Callithrix jacchus: one gene and its partner. The protein of the gene in region 1 binds, or shares a complex with, the protein of each later gene. Links are inferred from orthologs where the notes say so. Each region holds a gene or a part of one and is shown on either strand. Other genes may lie near its edges.

The links.
Region 2: the proteins of PTPN6 (region 1) and KLRC1 are in contact, whole or in part, in an NMR structure (PDB 2YU7), measured with the Homo sapiens proteins. The link is inferred for Callithrix jacchus from reciprocal best matches to the Homo sapiens genes PTPN6 and KLRC1. Residues at the interface, in NP_002822.2 of Homo sapiens: Gly117, Gly118, Glu121, Arg136, Ser138, Leu139, Ser140, Val146, Thr165, His166, Ile167, Lys168, Val178, Gly179, Gly180, Leu181, Glu182, Ile199, Glu200, Glu201, Ala202; in NP_002250.2 of Homo sapiens: Ile38, Thr39, Tyr40, Ala41, Glu42, Leu43, Asn44, Leu45, Gln46, Lys47.

Annotation. Positions count from the first base shown.
Region 1 is NC_133510.1:21,210,702-21,215,003, reverse strand, and holds the start of PTPN6 (tyrosine-protein phosphatase non-receptor type 6), read right to left. Parts: upstream 2,830-4,302; 5' UTR 2,670-2,829; coding exon 2,656-2,669; intron 1-2,655. Other genes in the region: C9H12orf57 (protein C10), read right to left, coding at 3,727-3,878. UniProt on the Homo sapiens protein: Tyrosine phosphatase enzyme that plays important roles in controlling immune signaling pathways and fundamental physiological processes such as hematopoiesis.
Region 2 is NC_133510.1:12,586,484-12,590,823, reverse strand, and holds the start of KLRC1 (NKG2-A/NKG2-B type II integral membrane protein), read right to left. Parts: upstream 2,866-4,340; 5' UTR 2,712-2,865; coding exon 2,687-2,711; intron 365-2,686; coding exon 149-364; intron 1-148. UniProt on the Homo sapiens protein: Immune inhibitory receptor involved in self-nonself discrimination.

The sequences.
Region 1 (4,302 bases):
AGAAGTGCTCCCCCAGAGACAGCATGTGTCAAGGCAAAGAGGTGGCATGCACAGAGTTCATGTGCGCAGTGCCTGGCTGTGAGCAGAGCTATGTGGCTGGAGCAAAGTTGCTCTGAGAGGTTGGGACCCTGCTGCAGAGGGTCATTCAAGGCCAGGCTGAGAAACTGAGGATGGAATCTGCACAAGGGGAGGCCTGGCCAAGCTACCTGGGAGGAAAATGGCCGTGGAAGGGATTCAGGACTAGAAGACTCAGTAGGAACCCCGTCGGTGGGGCAGACAGTGATGAGGTGAGCACTGGGGCAGGAGCAGAGATGAGTGTGAGAAGCAAGAATCAGTAGGGCTGGGGAGCCACACACCCACAAACTCGCCAGTACTCTGTAAGCAGGTTGTCACTTTTTCTTTTTCTTTTTTTTCTTTTGAGACAGTCTCGCTCTGTCACCAGGCTGGAGTGCAGTGGTGCAATCTTGGCTCACCAAAACCTCTGCCTCCCTGGTTCAAGCAATTCTCCTGCCTCAGCCTCCAGAGTAGCTGGGACTACAGGCACGTGCCACCACGCCCAGCTAATTTTTTGTATTTTTAGTAGAGACGGGGTTTCACCATGTTGACCAGGATGGTCTCGATCTCTTGACCTAGTGATCCACCTGCCTCGGCCTCCCAAAGTGCTGGAATTACAGGCTTGAGCCACTGCGCCTGGCCCCTCCCTCCCTCCCTTCCTTTCTTCCCTTCTTCCTTCCTTCTTTTCTTTTCTTTCTTTTTCTTTCTTTCTTCTTTTTTCCTTTCTTTTTCCTTTCTCTCCATTCTCTCTCTCTTTTTTTGAGACAGAATTTTGCTCTGTCATCCAGGCTGGAGTGCAGTGTCACAATCACAGCTCACTTCAGCCTTGACCTCCTGGGCTCCGGTGATCCTCCTGCCTCACCCTCCCAAGGAGCTGAGACCACAGGTGTGTGCCACCATGCCCAGCTATTTATTATTAGTAGTAGCAGTAGTAATGAGGTCTCCCTGTGCTTCCCAGAGTGCTCTTAAACTCCTGAGCTCAAGTGATCCTCCCACCTCCCAAACTGCTATGTTGCCCAGGCTGGTTTCAAACTCCTGAGCTCCAACGATCCTCCCACCTCAGCCTCCCAAATTGGGATCACATGTGTGTGCTACCTCGGCCGGCCAGGTTTTCACTTTCACCATCCCAGGTCCAACAGAGTCTAACCTGCCCTGGCCCTGCCTCCGCTCCTCTAGGGTCCTCTGTCACTGCATCACAGGCAGACTGTCCTTTTTTTGTTTGTTCCCACGTTAGAGCTTTGTGCGCTCCATCTCCTCTGCCCAGGGATGCTTGACTCTTTTTTTTTTTTAATAAAGACGGGGTTTCACCATGTTGGTCAGGCTGGTCTTGAACTCCCGACCTCAGGTGATCCGCTTGCCCTGGCCTCCAAAGTGCTTGGATTACAGGCGTGAGCCACCACACCCGGCCTAAGGATGCTTGACTCTTGATCACCACATCATTCTTTTCTTTTTTATCTTCTTCCTTCCTTCTTTTTCTCTGTTTCCTTCCTTCCTTTCTCCCTCCCTCTCTCTCTTTCTTTCTTTCTCCACCACGCCTAACTCCTCTTCCTCCTCATCCAGGTCTCAGCTCAAATGTCACCTCCTCAGGAAGCCCTCCCTGATCCCTCCAGCTAGTAATGTCACCTGCACACCCAGTCACTTGCTAGCACATGAAGCTGGTTCATTTTCTTTTTTCGAGACAGGGTCTCACTCTGTTGCCCAGGCTGGTGTGCAGTGGTGCAATCACCACTCCCTGTGGCCTTGACCTCCTGGGCTCAAGCCTCACACCTCAGCCTCTCCATAGCTGGAACCACAGATGTGTGCCACCATACCCAGCTTATTTTTTGTATAGACAGGGTCTCACTATATTGGCCAGGCTGGTCTCAAATTCCTGGGCTCAAGCAATCCTCTCGCTTCAGCCTCCCAAAGTGCTGGGATCACAGGTGTGGACCACCATGCCCAGCCGAGGCTGTTTCATTTTCTGCATAACACTTTTGAGAATCTGCAATGATCCAATTTATTGGGTTGTTTGTTCAGTCTGTGACCTCCCATGGGAACATAAGCTCCGTGAAAGCAGGGACCATGTCTGTCTTGTTCACTCCAGTATTACCAGCATCTTAAACAGCACCCTGTGTGCAATAGATGCTCAGCACGTATCTGATGAATGAATGATGCAAGGGAAAGGGAAGTGAAAGGAACCGGAAAGAAGATGGGACCAAAGTCAGATAATGGGAAGAGCAGGGAAGTTGGCTGGGCAGGAGAGGCCTTCACGGGTGGCCTCTAACTGCTGCTATGTTTGAGGTGATGTGAACTACCCAAGGGACAGGTCCCAAGCAGGAGGCAGAAGCAGGAGCCCAGAGGCTGGAGGTAGAAATGCAATGGAGAGAAGAGATATACACTTGTCAGGGGAAAATGTTAAAGAGGGGCCAGAGGGGCATGAATGAGCCCGGGGGTCCTCACACCTTGCGGGAAGGGAAGGTTCATAGGGACAGGAAGCAGGCGCAGGGCAGGGCAGCGGCAGATCGCACTCAGGCTCACACACATGTTGCAGTGAGCATGAACAAGGCCTCCCTCCCTCCAAAACTAACAGGAGACTGGGACCCAGGTGGTGCACGAACTTACCCACGGGACAGCATCTCTCTGGAGGGATGAAGTCACGGCAGAGGGCCTCAGGGGGCGGGGCTGAGCCAGTGGCACAGCTGTGCACCGTGGCCCAAGCCAGGTGAGGACGAACCTCTCAGAAATCAGTCACTTCCTCCTCAATCCAGCCTGCCAGGCCAATGGCCCCGCAGGGACAAACCCTGGACTAATAGTCTCCAGGAAAAGGACAGGTGGGGCGGGGCTGGCCTGAGACCGCCCACAGCAGCCAGCTTCCCTGCAGCCCCAGTGCGGGAGTCCAGCAGGCCCTCCCGCCGGTCCAGGGCTGCCTTCCCTCGGGAGAGGAGGAGCCACCTGGAGCTCCACCTGGAGCTCAAGCTGACAGAGCGGCGGGAGGTTGGGTAGGGGCAAAGACCAGGAAGTAACCCTGGCTGAGGGAAGAGCAACCAATGGGGGAAATCTCTCAGTAGGCGCAAACCAAAGGGCCTAAGGAAAAGCCCTAACAGCCCAATTCCTCAGAGAAGGAGGTGCGCCCTGTGCACGCCCACCCACCCAGGGCGCTGAGGAGCCCAGTCCAACCTCTTACCCTGCCCTGGGGAAAGGGGAGGAGCCTCAGCCCTCACTGGAGCAGGGTTAGGCCCAGCCAGGAGTATAGGAAAGAGCTATTCAGGAGGATGCGGCCTGGAAAGGAAGAGAGAATCTGGGGAGGAGAGAGGGAGGTTGTCAGGTCCACAAAGACTGACACGGGGCACGGTGGCTCACACCTGTAACCCAAGGTGGGTGGATCACAAGGTCAGGAGTTCGAGACCAGCCTGGCCAAGATGTTGACACCCCGTCCCTACTAAAAATACAAAAATTAGCTGGACGCGGTGGTATGCGCCTGTAGTCCCAGCTACTCAGGAGGCTGAGGCAGGAGAATCACTTGAACCTGGGAGGCGGAGGTTGCAGTGAGCTGAGATCACGCCATTGCACTCCAGCCTGGGTGGCAGAGTGACAAGAAAACTGACAAGAAGGCTAAGTCGCAGACACATTTATTATTGACTGGAACATCAAGGCCTTTCCTCCCCTGTTAGTGGCACAAGGGAGGGCTAACTCTCAGGAAGCAGCCACGCTGCCACCAGCAGCAGGTCCATGAGGTGGCAGCGTCATGGGTGGCAGGAACAGTGCCTTCAGCTTGCCTGACAGGCTGGCAATCTCGGGATCCTGGGCTTCGTAGGATTTGACCAAGCGGGCAAACTTGAGGACACCTGCAAGAGGGAGTGGAGGGTCAATGCTTCTCCTAAGGACCAGCGTGCCTAAGACAGGTGGAGGGGGTGGTAGTCTGAGCTTGAGCTGTTCCCCCACTGGCAGGGCAGCTGTTGGCAGAACAGCACATGCAGGACTCTGCCCCATGCAGTTTGGATCAACTTCTTATTCTACGTTGGGCACAACTGGATGGGGTGCATGAATGAAGATGTCCCAAAGCAGTGCGCTTCTTGCCCTCAAGTGAACCATTTTAGCAGTTTAGTCACAAGAACCCCAAGTGTGAACACCCACAAGACCCCAGGTCTGTAGCTGGAATGCAGGAGTGCTATGGGGCAGCAGAGCTGCCTGTCAACACCTTTGGGGAACACAAGGATCTCACCAAAAATTTAACCACTAACCCCTAAACAGAAGTTACCTGAAACACCC
Region 2 (4,340 bases), about 8.6 Mb from region 1:
TTTATATTGAAATCGCATGTCTCCACTTGGAATTCTGATCTTTGCAAATAGAAAATATGTAAGCACTCCCTGCTCTTTCCCCACATATCCCTGTACCCCAAGCTGCACATCCTAGACTGTTATACTGAGGAGCTTTTCAATGCTTTACCTTTGCAGTGATAGGTTTTGTCATTCCCTTGAAAATCCTGAGAAGCTGTTTGAAGGTTTAATTCCGCATAGGTTATTTCCTGTTCAGTTACTAAAATTGAGCTTTCTTTGCTCTTAGGTGTTCGTTGCTGCCTCTTTGGCTTTGGGGGCAGATTCAGGTCGGAGTAGATCACTCCTTGGTGATCCATCTTTGCAGTGTGTGATGTCAGGGACTGTGCTGTATAATAAGAGTAGTTAAGAAGTTAATAAATGGTTTGTATACAAGCTCTCTAGCGCAGTTAAAAGGGTGAGGTGGAGAATGAGTATTAGAGCTAATTTTGCATTGAAGAATCTAAAGTTCTTTCTCTAATTTTCTTCCAGCTTAAACAAGCTTCTTATGGGAAATAGTTTTTTTTTTTGTTTGTTTGTTTGTTTGGTTTTGTTTTGTTTTGTTTGAGACGGAGTTTCGCTCTTGTTACCCAGGCTGGAGTGCAATGGTGCGATCTCGGCTCACCGCAACCTCCGCCTCCTGGGTTCAGGCAATTCTCCTGCCACAGCCTCCTGAGTAGCTGGGATTACAGGCACGCGCCACCATGCCCAGGTAATTTTTTGTATTTTTAGTAGAGACGGGGTTTCACCATGTTGACCAGGATGGTCTCGATCTGTTGACCTCGTGATCCACCCGCCTCGGCCTCCCAAAGTGCTGGGATTACAGGCTTGAGCCACCGCGCCTGGCTTTTTTTTAAGATTTTTCTAGGGCCAAGCTCGTAGTGGGTCATGCCTGTAATCTCAACACTTTGAGAGGCCAAGGTGGGCTGATCACAAGGTCAGGAGTTCAAGACCAGCCTGGCCAATATGGTGAAACCTCATCTCTCCTAAAAATACAAAAATTAGCTGGGCGTGGTGACATGCACTTGTAGTTCAAGCTACTAGGGAAGCTGAGACTGAGGAACTGCTTGAACCCTGGAGGTGGAGGTTGCAGTGAGCTGAGATTGCGCCATTGCACGCCAGCCTGGGTGACAGAGTGGAACTCCATCTCAAAAAAAAAAAGATTTTCTACATTTGACAAAATATTATTGCTGGGGCAATGAGAAGCAATACATTAGTAAGGAATAAAGAAGTTCAGGAATGAAAAGATATTTCTTAGTTAATGTCTGATGCCACAGATATATTTTAACATAATACCAAACACAACTTGTATTAAAAATTAAAATGTTGTAGTATAGATACTTCTGCACTCATTTTTTATTTTAATTTTGAAATCCAGTAATGTTTAGACTATGTGATCTGCACATGATTAATAGTAAGGGTGATATATATATATTCTTGCAATAAATACGTTTTATTTAGTAATGTACACGTATTTATTAAAATTGATGGGGTATTAAATGGGTTTCTCTTAATGGCTGAAACATTTTAAGAAATTATTGAAAATTTCAATATTTGTATATATCGGAAAATCTTATGCAACAGTTAAGTTATTCATAACCTAAACAGTGTTACAAACACTACAAAAACTGCTAATACTTACCTGATGGAAGTGTTGGCAAGTTATTTCCTGGATAAACTATAAACCATAAAATGATAAACGAAAGTATAGGTAATTTATGTTAAAGCACATTTCATTTAAACTTATAGAAACATTTTACGGTTGCCAAAGTGAGTAATGGCTACGTTAGTTGTATAAGCACTTGTAAAATTTCAGGTAATGTAATTAAATCGTTTAGTCAATGGCTCTGGAGTCAGTGAGATCTAGAATTAATTCTGGCTTTGACACTTATAATGTGTGACCTTTAAAAAGTTATTCTGTGTTTAATAACCCAGATTGTTAATCTAAACCGGGAATAAGAACACATAAAACGTTGCATGTAAAACATTTACCACTCAACCTGGCACTTAAAGTTCTCAATAAGCGTTAGCTTTTTGATTATTATATAGTAACAATTGTTATGTTACTGTCTCTGATTCATGTCAGTGAAAGCATGGAAAATAAATCTTCAGATAAGTCTCCTATGTCCGTGTGCTACATTTTTCTTTGCAATATTTTGACCAATTTTTAAAAAGTATTTTGATTTTTGTATTACCTTTAGCATTTTATGTAATCTACCTCATTCTGATTTTTATTAAAAATAAAAACCGCTTTTATTTATTTAATCTATGTGTCTGAGAAATTGTATTTGGCTTTCATCAATTGATTAATTTATTTTAATAATCTATAATGGCTAAACTAAATATCAATTATGATTATTCAAAGCTACATGATGTACTGATTATAAAATATAAAATTAATTGTTCATTATTGTGATGTTAATAGGTTTCATCTAAATTATATTAAACAGACCTACTAGTTTTCCACAAACAATAATTTAAAAACTTTAAGAAATCCTCCAACATATTTAATTTTTTAGGTTTTTAACCTTAGTTATTCAAATGAAGACAGCAATGTTCTACTTTGATTTTATTGTATATTAATTAAAGCTCTGATGCATCATATTGAGCACTTATAATCACCCACTAAATGAGGTAGGCTAGTAGCGCGTTCGAGAGTAGCAACACATACCTTCTGTCCCCAGAAAGTCACACATCCTTTAGTGGAGAGGCCAGGTTAGTCTCATAAAAAGGCCTGCTATAGTTGAGTAATAAAAGGTGAAATTAAAGGCATAAATCCAGGACAAGAACAAACAGTGTCTGTGATCTTTGCAGACTGCCCCGTGAAGACTCAGAGTGAGTGAAGAGTGGAAATAGTAGATTTCTTATCAACGTGTTACTAAGGTTTGAACAGGAAATTCTACACATGGGCTATTTCAAATCAGTTTATTTCATCACACACCTCCAAAATATAGGATAATGTGGTCTACTAAAAGTACAAGGTTGACTTTGAAAGTGTCATTTAGTTGGTCCATTTTTCAAGTGCCTCTGAGAATTTTTTTTCTGTCTTGATCACAAACATTGCCAAGGCTCACCTTGTTAAGAGTATCTTTTAAACTAGGTTGCTAAATCTTAACATTGCATACCTCTTTATATTATTTTATTATGTCACTTCCATTATAATGGGAAAGCATTCTAAAACTCATAGTAACATTATGAACTGATATCTACTGATCTTTTTCACCAATTACCTGAGAAATTACTGCAGTAATTACTCAATTGATTGTAGCTGGCACAAAAATCATCACTGCCAAAGTTATAGTCTTAACTTCTCTTAGTTCTTAAATTCTTGTGTTTAATTTTATTTTTTTAAGCAGATTATTTAATGTTCAGATTGCTCTTGATAAAAATAAATGTATCTTGGAAAGATAAAGCATTAATCAATTTTGAAATATATCATCATGCCAGAGATTGGAATACTGAGCAGCTATTCATTATGTTATTCATTTATTCATCTTCTGCCATAACAAATTATCTCAACTTTAATAGAAATATTTAGTTGTAATTGACAAAAACTCAAGTCAAAGTATGTATGGGGAAAAAATAAGTTTAAAATCTTATTTGGAAGAAAGTCAGCAAATTGGCAGAATAGGTGGTCCCCCACACATACACCCCTCAGCAACAATAATTTTCCAGCCAACCACAGACAAAAGTTCCTTTGAGGGAGTTTCGGAATTCAAGTAGGAGTTTGTAAAATGCCAGTGGAACCCAAGACAGAGGAGGAGGGTTGTTTTAGAGAATAGATTTGCACCCAAGTGGCAGTTTGCCAATGGTGATTCCATCTCCAGACCTGAAAAGGGACCCATCCTCCTGTGGACTTGCCTTTAGCCCCATTAGGCCTTGGTCATGCTGCCAAAACCATTTTCCCAGGGGTCCAGGAGGAGACCCACACACTAGTGTCTCAGGAGGTAGATGTACCAACTGTAGTCTCCGTGTGGATCCTGAAACAACCCTCTAACTTGGCTTTAGCTAGCATCAGCCACAACTTGAGATCAGTCCTTCACCCACAGAGACTTCCTGGAAGACATACATCTGTTCTCCCGGGGCATGCTTGCTGACCTCTGTCCCATAGAAGATACTAAAATGGCCCTGAATCTTCACTCAAACCCCTCTCAACTGTGGCCTGAGTCAATCACAGGAAATTGCTGTGTGACTCACTCATCTCTGTCAGCAGTAGAGGTTTGCTGACTTTAGTTCCACAGTAGTTTCTGAAACAGCCTCGAATCTTGACCTCACCCTTCTCAGCTGTGGATTGTGAGCAGTCTTTCCAATTCAGGGATACATAG